2 linked regions of the Caenorhabditis elegans genome follow. The protein of the gene in region 1 purifies or fractionates together with the protein of each later gene. This does not show direct contact. Each region holds a gene or a part of one and is shown on either strand. Other genes may lie near its edges.

Region 1 (7,043 bases):
TCACAAAAAAAATGTCGCACTAACTAAATTAAATTTCGCGCGGGACACGTTCTACACTGAACGTTAAAAAATTTCACAAACCGCTTGGCTAAAATTTAAAACACTCAGTTTTCATGGGCTGATTGCAAGCTTGCAATTTGATCAATGCTCAAAGTTGGTTTCAAAAACTGTAGCAGTGCATTAAACGTACCATTAATACTTCCTAGCGAAGTCTCTTCAATGGGAAAAGCCTGCGATTGGATAGCCAAAATTACGATAAAAACTACAGAGATAAGTTTGAAGTAGTAGTCCATTGTTCAAGTTGAAGTCAAGTGATAAATCACACTAAAAAGGTTTTTCGAAGGTGTTTCGCTTTAAGGTTTTGTTTCTCTTGACGAATGATATCAAGAATTTTTGTTGTCTTGGTCAGCCAGTCACGCACCACCTAACACTACAATTCACTGACAGTATAAACGAAACGGCGCCAGTTTGGTTAGCAAATTAGCGCATATATCTGTTATTCACTATTGGCAAAGGACACACACTATTTTTGGGTGTGTTTGGGTTTTCAAAACGACACGGTTTTGAAATGATAAATTCACGTATAGGAAATATTTTTGAAAAAGTGTTTCTTTGTAAATGCCTCTGGTAAATTCGGTTGATCAAAAAGCTTCCAAACATGCTTCAACTTACTCAAAAGCCAAGCGGTAGGCCTCTCCACGGCTTAACAGCGGCTGAGCCAATAGGGAGACCGTTAGTGGTGGCACTGTACACAGTACATATTCATTTTAAAAAAAGCAATTTCATAAAGAAGCTCAATATATCACAAGAAAAGATGACAATTCAATTAAATCAATAAATAGACTCTGCGAGAAGTTTTGAAACTTTTGAGATATTCAGTGAACAGCTCCCGTATTTTTGTCGACGTTGGCAAACTCTTCGAGGAATCTGTAAATTTAACTTATTTTCCATTCACTACAGAACCATAACAAATGCAATAGCCAATTGAAATTAGTATTATAGCATTAAGTATACCCATTAATCGAAAAACGACAGAATTACTGCTTAATGTCTGCCCGCTTAGCCAAAACATTTTTTACCGGGGACGTGGTTTCATTTTAAAGCCTGTATACTCACGATTTTGTATTTAGCATGCTACTCCCAGCTAGAACAACAGCAGGCCCTCCGTATCCTTGCATCCGCTTTTCATTCAAGCTTCTCACATAAGCCGCCTCCTCATATGTGGCTCCACCCACAATAAACACAATAATATTATCCATTCGGTCGCTGAAAATTGAGTAGCTTGAAGCATTATAGTAGATCTAGAACTTACCATTCATTGCTAAGAAGCGGGTAGTTGTCAAGCCTCCCACGCTGGCAAGACTCGATCATGTTCTTGAGATACGGCGAATGCTGGGTGTAAATGTTCTCAACTCCTTTGAGTCCTTTGATGAACCTGAAAATTATAGGTAGAATACCATGTACCTTTTGTAAATCTTGAGTCTTTCTTTAGTGCTACTAATGTTCAGTCAGTTTTGTCAAATTATTAGAGGTGTCAATAAATTTCTGGTCAAATGAATTAATATTTTTTGTTGCAAAACTCATTTGTAATTCTTTTATAAATAAAGCAGTTTTTAATCGCTAAATTTGCTTACTGTAGACAAAAATTAATTCGAAATTCTGATTTAGACAACTAGTAACGGATAAAATTGAACCAAATCAGAAATTGCTGAAGCCGCCAAATCAACCGAAACTAAGCCCAGATTTCAGCCCAAATATTTGATTACGCTGATTCACTGTTGCTCACCTCTTCGTAATGTCAATAGTCGATTCACCACCAAACAAATCGGCAGGTCTCCTTGAAAGTCCACCATATTTGAGCAGCGTCGACACCGTTTGATGGATTTTTGGATGCTGAAAAAGCATGAAATTTTTTTAAACCCAGAATACACCAGTTGCCTACCTGTGGTCTGAGTTGACTGATCAATGAGTTTAATTCGTTGCCGGGTGCGTTTTCGAAACGAAGAGCGTAGAGAAGCACAAGACGGATGATGTCCTGAAAATGGGTGTACTGATCGTGATAACTAAATTCAATTAAAAATATAATTATATACTTCTATGTATCATTTAACAAAATAAATTTTTTAAAAATATAGCACACACTTCAGTGTTGTGTGCCTTGAAAAAAAAAATTTGCGTATGCACTGACCAAACTTATGTTTGCACTGACTAAATGACCAGCTATTTTTCCTAGTTTGTTGAAGCTGTAGTATCTAATTTTAAAGTAGCTAATGAATTTACTTAAAATTATAGGATACAGGAAACAAAATCCTTTCCTGAGCACCACGTTGGCGAAAATATATACCGTATTTCATCTATTAGTCTTGCAGCCTCTATTAGTCTTGCACCCCTACGGACCAATTGAAAATTAGTTTTGCATGCAAGACTAATAAAGGAAATACGGTAATTGGTCATTTGCGATAACAAATCTCAGTATTTTCTCGTGTTTGTTTTGGCATTCAGAATCTAAAAATGTTCATTCCGGATTTTTTTGCGGTGTATGTTACTGTTACTCACCACTTCTCTGGTTTTCGTATTTTTCAGCAGTCCTCGAACAAGATTGATACATTTGCCATGATCCCCATCTGACACAATTGCCTGCTCTACCTGAAACCACTTTCTACGTTTTGACACGTTTTTTTAAACTGTATTACCTCTGAGACTCCTAATAAATTATGCTTCTGAACAAGATTACTAAGTTCGCCTACAAGGCTGACGTGTTTCGACACTGTTCCACTGATCTTCTTAAACTGTGGATAGTCTTCCACAAACTTTTTCATATCCTGAATCGACTCCAAATTCTTGTTAATATGCTTTTTCTCCTGAAACTCGCTGATCAACGTCTTGATATTTTGCCCGATTTCTCCAAAGTTGGCAGTAATATTTCTCGCAAAAAATTCATCGTGAAGCTCGCTGAGCACAATGTTCTGATCAGTACATGTGCATCTGTTATTTGTCAATGTGAGCATTTCATGGATCATCGCTTCATACGTCCATTGGTTGAGCAGAGGAGTCACCGCGTCCTGGGATCTTTCAATAATCAGAAGAGTGGTGTCAGCTCTAGAGTTTTCGAAAAGCCCGTTTTCCCGGCGAATGAATTGTGCTACATCATCGGCCACTTTTTTGCAACTCGGTGAAGACTTTTGGTATCTGAAAAAAAAACATTGTAAAAGTATGCAACAAAGTAGTGACAATTGCATACAGTTTTTCGCATGTAGCAGCTCCCAGATTACAATAAAAACAAAACTACAGCGTGTTATGTCTAACAATTACAAGCATTGCCAAAAATTTCTGATTGCAGCACACTTCTGCTCAAGCGATGTAGTGCCAATTTTCAGCTGCGCGATAGTTATGATATGTATGTATATGTGCAAATTAATTTATCATACAATCGTATTGTTGGGGTAAAGACTTCTTTTTGTTTAGAACAAGGAAATTGGGTACAAGACGAAAAACAAAAGCAGTCACGCAATTGGATACTACTTGTAGACCAAAGACAAAAACAAACGAATGAATTTTTTTTCTCAATCGTATATTTTAGGGATCAGTTTTAGAGAAATTGAATCAATCTTTAGAATTAAAAGCTGCGAACACTCTCTAAATTGAGATACCTTTATAAAAAAGCATGAACATGACTAATAAATAACCAAAATTTCAAAAAAAAGGTCAATGTCCGCAATCCTTTACCAATTTTCAAATTAGAAATTTCAAAACTCTCACCGAACAGCTGGAGCCTTTTTCAACTGCAACAATAGCGCAATAATTCCGCACTTGATCCTTTCAGCGGCTTCTTCTTTCAACGTGAATGATGAGTCGAAGATGTGTGTCAAGTTGAGAGTGAACAAGTCTTTACGAATAGGAACTCCATCTAGAAACACTTCTTGAACCTCACGCACCTGGAATTTGTTGAAAAATACACTATTGACATATCCTATAGCGTATTAGTATTGCTTAAAAGTTTTTTGCATCGTTAAGTTATTGTCGGAAAGCAATAAATCTTTTTCTGATTCTCATAATTTAATCACGCAGCTTGAAAATTAGTTCTGTCCATAATAAAAAGTACTACTTACAGTCTCATTTTTGTCTGCTTCAGCCAGCCGCTTCACATCATATTTGTTGATTGTGTTTGTAAAATCTGAAAAGCATATTCATTGAAAACTAGTATTTTTTCTGTAAACTCACAAAGATAGTACTGGCTGAATCTTGGCTCCTGGAGCTCTTTCACCAGTCGCTCAATATTTTTGGGTGTCGGCCGGACGAATACCACGCATTTCAAGTTTTTGATGTTTTCAGATGAGGTCTTGTTCTCAATTCTATCGAATATATAAACTTCTTTTTGCATCACCTCCGACTGCGCAAATGCGCATGACACTGTTGGAGTCTGGAAAAAAATTTAGCGTTGATTTTATTTGAAAACGTGTGAAAAAACTACTCATCATTTAAAATTGTATGTTTATATGATTTTTCATACTAATCTAAGCATTAACTTTATTAAAAATCTATAGCTGATATAAATTCATAATAAACATTTAGGCTATTGTGAATATACAATACGTTTTGCTCATTTTTGGATTTCCTCTATATTTTAAGTGTTTATTATATTTATTATTTATTATTTTGTTAGATTAAGTAATTCAAAAATAGACATAAATGTTACTGAAAAATTTGCAAAACGTGTTGTTAATTTACGTTTTAGTATAACTTTTTGACACAAGTTTTAATTATTTTTCCTAACCGAATAATTACATTTTTACACTTTCAAATCAACTCACTGTTTCCCCATCCATAAGTAGTAATTTCATCTGCGAGCCGGCAAGTTGGATCATGTCCTGTATCAATTTTCGGCTTGACTGCACGAGATCCATGGTTGATTAGTAGAAAGAGCTAGTGGCCAACGTGTATAAAAACATATGGTAAAAGAAAAGAAATGGAGAACTCTAGGCCGCGGCCGTCTCTGTCACCGCGTCGGGTGAGTGTCCAGTGCCAGCATCGATTTTGAGAGATGGCTAGGCTAGTGGAGACGTAGACGGAGGAAGGCTGTGGAGAGTGAGGAAAGATGGAAAAAGTGGAAAAGTGGAGCAGAAGTAGAGCAGGAGAATTTGCATTCTGTCGGAGAAAATCTGAAGAAAACTGAATCTTCTCCAATTTTTCATTATACTAACTTGGTCCTGAACAAAAGTCTATGAAATATGTATAAGAATTATTATCCGTATGCGTGATGTACTAGGACAACAATTATCATTTACTATATATAAAGCGCGTGTCCTTCTGTCCCTATGTAGTTTGATCTCCGATCAGAGCAACGAAATTTTGGGAAACCTTATGCTAAATGCGCAGCAGACATCGATCGAGGTCCGCGATAGACACCGTATATCTAATGTGTTTTCTCAAAAAAGTCGGGGGCCGCGCCGTAGGTGCGGTCCACGGCTGGTACTAAAATAATTAACTCGTATCAGAGCTTTTCAAAATTGTTCCCTGTACTTATGGTAGGGTTTTACCAAAGCTCCAGCTTAACGCAAACTTCACAGATTTATGACTATTCAATGCAAGGTGGCTGGTTCTAATTTGAAGGACATAACACAATTTTTCGTTCACATGAAACTGCAGCCAAATATTAATTTTACACTATTTTCAATTCGTGTTTGAAGTTTTTATTTGACAAAAAAAGAGTTTCATCTAGTCATATCTGCAACCATTAACTCTTTGCACATTTAAAAAATTAAATTAAAATCACAATAATAATAAAAAACCGGGATGTACTGAAAAACCTGATATTGTTCAAAAAGTGTAATAGTCCTAATAATACAAAAATAATACGTATAATTTGAAAACATTGCACAATCCATCAAAGCTCATGAATAATCATGGAAGATCATATTTCCCCATTGCGAGAGCAACTTTTCCACCATTCCGCGCGCATTTGGATCAGCAGACTCCATGAAAGCAGTATGTCCTCCGTGATTGGTGATAATACCGCAAACGTAGTCGCTCTCCATTATATCTAATGTAGGGATGCCTAAATAGGGGAAATGTATGAATAATTATTAAATTTGGTATTTTGTTTAAAAAATGTAATTAGAAAACTAGCTTTTCAATTACATATTTAATATATATTTCATAAAAATTCCACACGTTTTATAATTTTTTGCAACCCGCAATGTGTCGGTTGCTGTTATTACCGTAGAGCAAACACGTCTAATTATGAACTAGAGAAACGTAGCAAGCACTCATGTTTGTATATGAACATTAGTTTTCAAAGCTGTTCAAACCAAAACTTACATTCCACCGGGCTGAAATAATCATCAACAGAATTCAGTGTTACACATGGAATCTTGATTTTGTCTACCTGGAAATTGATTTTTCAAATTTTTACAAACCAAGTTTCAAATGTTACCTTTGTCGCCAAAGTAGCCTGTCTGTAATAGTCATCGCAACTCTTGAACCCATACATGGGAATCACAAAAGATCGATCAAACCCTCTAACCGTATTGCATCTGCACACTTCGTCAAAATCCACCATATCTTTGAATAGCTCGCGGTACCTGGAATTGTGGGAGCTACTTATGAACTCAGGGGTTTGGTTCATTAATAGCTTAGCAGGAAATACTAAAAATTTGGGCGTAAAGGAATTGCTTCAAATTAACGCGCAAAAACCAATCACTTAATGAGAAGCTTGCCAGCTCTTTGAGCACAGGGCCTGCTCATGTCTCCTCAAATTTTCTCAATGCCAATTTTTTATACCAACTACGTTTGTTGTTTAAAAGTCATCAGATTTAAAATATTAAAAATAAACACCTTACTAATATAAACGAAAAAACATCAAAACTTACGGTCTCACCATATCTACCAAGTTCTTTGCAATAAAGCTGTTGAAAATAAGTTGTGGAATAAAGCATTCAATAGAATCAGAAGCAACAAGGGGATCCCACGGAGAAGAAACAATCATGCCTCCGTCCAGATCTGCATTTTCTCCAGTCATCGCTAGATAGTTCCAGAGAATCATT
Region 2 (4,735 bases), on another chromosome or scaffold:
ACTGTAGCTCTCACATCTCACTGCTTCACTGTTTTCAAATAGCCCTTTCCCGGCCTTTTTTAGCATTCAACTTTCAGAAAACGAAGTATTTATTAATCTTGGCTTTTTATACTTATTATATCATAAAACTCACCATAAACAATAAAATAAGTGTAGCTACCGCTAAGGCGGCTAAAATAATAGCAACGAGCACAAAATCAATAATACTTTCAGCCATTTTAAAGGTCTATGTTCTGCAGTAAGTTGGAGAGTAAAAGAAAAGAGAAGATTTGCGTAAAACTTTTCGTTTTATACAGCAGCGGCGGTAGTGCGAATTCAGAATTTCACAAGTGCGTCAATCGGCCGTTAGGTTTGGCTGAAAAAATGAAATCACTGTTTTTTCCGAAAAGGAGAAAAAACGTGTTTAGAGCCGAACCCGTGTTTGCCACACTGATCGGATTTGCATAAGTTTTTTATTTCATTTTTTCCCGGTCGATCATCATTTCATCGGTCAAATGATCCCGATCATTCTTCTTCTCTGAAAAGAACGTCAAAGCAGTACGTCATATTCAATCAATACATTTTATTGAGAAAAATTCGAAAAAAAGCAACGAGAGGGAAGTTAGTACAATTGAGGAGTTGAACATATTTTAGACTTAGGTTAGACTGTATACAAACACATGACTTATAATAAAAGCTCGATTCTCAGTATGTTTTTCAAATAAATATAGGACAGGAAGCATATTCACAGAACAGAGACACTCCTATTACTTAGCCAGGTAGAGGGTTAATCCAATGATAAAGATAAGAATAACAAAGAAACAGAGAAGGAGAAGCTTCTTTTGACGGGCTTTCTGATTGTAGTAGACGGCTTGTTGCACATTTTGAGCACCCTTAATTTATTTTTTATTAAAATGGAATACCCACTATTTTTCAACTTTGAAAGTACCTAAACGTGTATATTTTTAGATAAATTAAAGTTTTTTTTGCAGATTTTCGTTTTCATCGCTTCATTCTCGAACAATTCTGTGATTCTCCGAATTTTTACCTGTTCAACGTAAATCTGTGCATGCTCCACATTTGCCTCAATCGAATCCACCATATCTCCTTGTTCGTGTACGATATTCGCGAGTTCGGCGAAAATCTGAAAATTAATTAATGTTACTTAATCTTGAAGAGTTATTTTTCGTATGGCACATCCTCTAACCGCTTTTAATGAAATTAATAGAAATTAAAAAATAATAATTTTTAAATTGGTCATTATAACTTCAATTGAATAAAGCCTACCGCATTAACATCTCCAATATCTCGTTCCAATTGTTGTAATGCATTTTGTCGTTCTTTCATATCTTGCAAATTTCCTTGTTGCTGTGCCGTCATCTGCATCTGTCCACCACTTCGTCCATTATTTCCGTACATATCGTATTCGGCAGCATCACGTGCCGCTTGAGCATCCATTTCTGCTGCAACCATTCCAGCTTTTTCAGTTTGTGCAGCTTTTCGTTGAGATGCTTGAAGGCGGTTGAGCACTCCGATATACTCATTTTGAAGACGCTCTCGGACTCCTCGTAAGTTCTTCTGAAATATTTTAATGTTGTTGATAATACTATAATAAAATATTCCTTCAAAGACATCTCTCCCAAACGTGTATTTCCTATTTTCATATGAATATCAATACAAAATGAGTTTGAAATCAATTTTCAGAAAATTTAAATTTCGGATTTAAAAATTGATTTATGAGGTTATTCAAGTAGAGTCGGAAAATTGTAGACAAATGGCGCCACAACTGTAATCAAATACATACAAAAACATGTATTTTAATATAGTTGTGACGTCATTTTCTACACTTTTTAATTTTCCGATACTACTTGAATAGGCCACTTATTATCAAAATATATAAACTGTCATGTGAAACGTGGCTTATTTTTTATTTTGTTTTTTATTTAAGCTCCTCCCATTTTTTTAAAATGAACTAATAAATACAAACTTTAACGAAAGGTCAGGAATGGGAGGAGCTTGAATAAAAAACAAAATAAAAAATAAGCCACTTTACACATGCCAGTTTATATATTTTGATAATAAGATTATTTCAAATTATTTTTTTAAGTTTTTTTTATTTAACAAAAATCGTGTGATTTTATGATTTATTTTTGAATGTTATAAAATTTTAAAACCTTAGGATAATTTTTTTAAAATATAAATTCATTGAAAAATTTTGCCTTCACCAAAGTTTAATATAAAAATTTATACTGAAACTCACATCAGAGTTGCTCATCACAACTAATCTTTTCAGCAGGGCATTGGTTTCCTTCGAGAGTTCCTGAGCATTATGAGCTTTCTGAAATATTTTAATGTAATATTAATTAATAGAGAGTAATAACTAACGCGATTGAAAAGCTCCCGTTCTCTTTGTCCTGATTCACTGCTATCTGATAGATTTGTGATAAAGGATTCCAATTGAATAACTGAAACGAAATTTAGTGTACAACGTGTTTTTTTTAATAAAAAATTTCGTGCAAACCTTGTTGATTTAAATTCTGAATATTGAGTTGAAGCTGACTGGCTGTCTCATTGCCGGCATCTCGATTGAAATCCATTCTGGCTTTGAGATAGGCTTCAAACTGAAAAGATTCTTGACAATGAGTAAATCGATAAAAACCGCTGAAAATACATACAAAAAAGGCGCTTAGTGCGCGTGTGTGCAAAAATGCTCTATAGACAAAAAATGCGAGAAAATATTTCTTTTCAAAAGAGAAAAGTAAATACTTTTTTCATAAACTTTCACTGCAATGGTAAATAAACTAGTCACTAAAAGGAAATGAAATAAGTTTTTTCAATAGCTAATCACTCTACCAATTTTTTTCAAAACTTTTTGCGAATATATAGCTTTTAATAACTTTTAATAATAAGGAAATAGTAAAAGATCGATAAAAATCCAGTTCGGCAAAACGTGTTGTTGAAACGATTGATTGTGTAATATAAGACCACATTGAATTGTATACAAATTGTAAATTATTGATTTTTGTGGAAATGTAAACATTGTACTACATTTGTTACATGAAACTTTTTTTGGTCTCGCGTAACAAATACTATACATTAATCCTATAATTCGAAAAAAATAAATCATACTTCCGAATCAAACGGCATTGCGAAAGCGTCAGCAAGAAAAATAGAAATGAATCTCATTCATTTTCAGAAAAAAATAATAACGATCAACGTGAAACGAGAGAAGAAATGAGACAATGACGCGATTTAGAAAAAAAAATTAATTCGATAAAATGAAAATAGAGGTATTTAAGTAAGCAATCGAAAGATGAATAACTCCATAGTGACAGACTTTTCTTGAATTTACAATCAAAAGGCAAAAGATAAGTGAATAAAAAGCAATCTATATTCCAAACCGTGAACGTTTATATATGACAAAAATGCAGGCTTCTAGTGAAGTTTTGATTGATTTGATGAAAATCACTCTGATCAAGCAGCCGACATTAATTGTCAGATTATTCCCATTTAAATGGAGGTAAATAGTACAGAAAACATTGAGTATCGAATCAAATGGGGAACGGGGGTGATAATTATGAGATGTAAAAGATGGGAAACAACTGAAAGAATAATAGGAAATGAAAACAATAATAGCACATGATGATTTCACAGAAAACTCATTGATCTTTTTCATCTACTGCATCGCTAATCTGACGTTCGATCAATGCAGCCATATCCTCGAACTCATCGTCATCATCAGATTCCGGTACTTCCTCATCTTCATTGTCTTCGTCATCTTCTTCTTCATCTATATTAGCTGGTGCGTGGCCTTTCTGTAAAAGTCTTTTTTTTTCAAAACACTTTTGATCTCCCAAGCAGGAATAATGATTCACGTGTTTCTTTGAATTTTTGTTTAATATCGATAAAATGTCGTATTTTTCGATAAATTCTAGACACTGGAACGATTTGGATTGATATTTTTAAGCTCAAGAAGCCAAAATTTAACTTTTTTCAAAAAATTCACTACTATTAATTTTAGCCACTATAAATTCAAAACTTTCCGTTTTATTTTCAATTTTTTATACTTGCCGCCCTTTTTACCTCATCATCAACATCAAATACTGCATCATCCTCGTTTTCTGGAACAATTCGACCTTTTTTGCGTGAATCTGACAAAAGTGCTTTGTACGACATAGGGGTATCGTCATCCTCATTATCAGAATCTGATTCCTGAAATAAATATTATTGGAATAAATTATTTTCAAGTTTCTTACCTCTTCCTCGTCCTCCATTTCAGGACAATGCTTTCTTTTCTGTCCCCTTGATGTAGAATCTGTCTCGTTTTCCAAAGCATCTCCTGATTGATTCTCAACAGATCCATTCTGCTCAACATCATCCATTTCTTCTTCATTTTTCTCTTGTTTCTCTTCTAAATTTTCATCTCCCTTATCTTCTCCAACATCATTCCCATCATCATCCTCATCCTCATTGTCTCCATCGTCTTCATCATCCGATAGAGCTTCATCTACTTCATTATTCATATCAGCTAACGCGGCTTTCCCAATTGTGTCCATATTTGCCAAATCATTGACATACTTTGATCCAAGTGGACGTCCAACTGGAGGAGTACTTTCTTTTGTTAGTTGAAACAGATTTTCATCTGCTTTAAGCCACTTTTCGACACAAGCATATACCCATTGAACTGTGACCACAAACTTATTGAGACGATTGGCTTGATAAACTTTTCTGAAAATAAAAGAATTTTAAAATGCTA

Evidence for each region.
Region 2: the proteins of vps-45 (region 1) and syx-7 purify together in Caenorhabditis elegans (affinity purification with western blotting, with the first as the bait; one study listed by BioGRID). This does not show direct contact.

The regions. Positions count from the first base shown.
Region 1 is NC_003284.9:969,849-976,891, forward strand, and holds vps-45 (Vacuolar protein sorting-associated protein 45), read right to left. Parts: upstream 5,001-7,043; 5' UTR 4,905-5,000; coding exon 4,812-4,904; intron 4,421-4,811; coding exon 4,222-4,420; intron 4,175-4,221; coding exon 4,110-4,174; intron 3,936-4,109; coding exon 3,760-3,935; intron 3,190-3,759; coding exon 2,694-3,189; intron 2,647-2,693; coding exon 2,557-2,646; intron 2,036-2,556; coding exon 1,943-2,035; intron 1,894-1,942; coding exon 1,787-1,893; intron 1,436-1,786; coding exon 1,313-1,435; intron 1,267-1,312; coding exon 1,117-1,266; intron 928-1,116; coding exon 876-927; 3' UTR 735-875; downstream 1-734. Other genes in the region: C44C1.6 (Neuropeptide-Like Protein), read right to left, coding at 191-293; Protein abhd-3.2, read right to left, coding at 5,892-6,055, 6,319-6,385, 6,434-6,581, 6,870-7,043.
Region 2 is NC_003279.8:9,001,364-9,006,098, forward strand, and holds syx-7 (t-SNARE coiled-coil homology domain-containing protein), read right to left. Parts: upstream 2,601-4,735; 5' UTR 2,577-2,600; coding exon 2,501-2,576; intron 2,445-2,500; coding exon 2,365-2,444; intron 2,318-2,364; coding exon 2,240-2,317; intron 1,558-2,239; coding exon 1,267-1,557; intron 1,124-1,266; coding exon 1,028-1,123; intron 873-1,027; coding exon 747-872; 3' UTR 548-746; downstream 1-547. Other genes in the region: F36F2.7 (uncharacterized protein), read right to left, coding at 134-217; fcp-1 (RNA polymerase II subunit A C-terminal domain phosphatase), read right to left, coding at 3,639-3,794, 4,063-4,191, 4,236-4,707.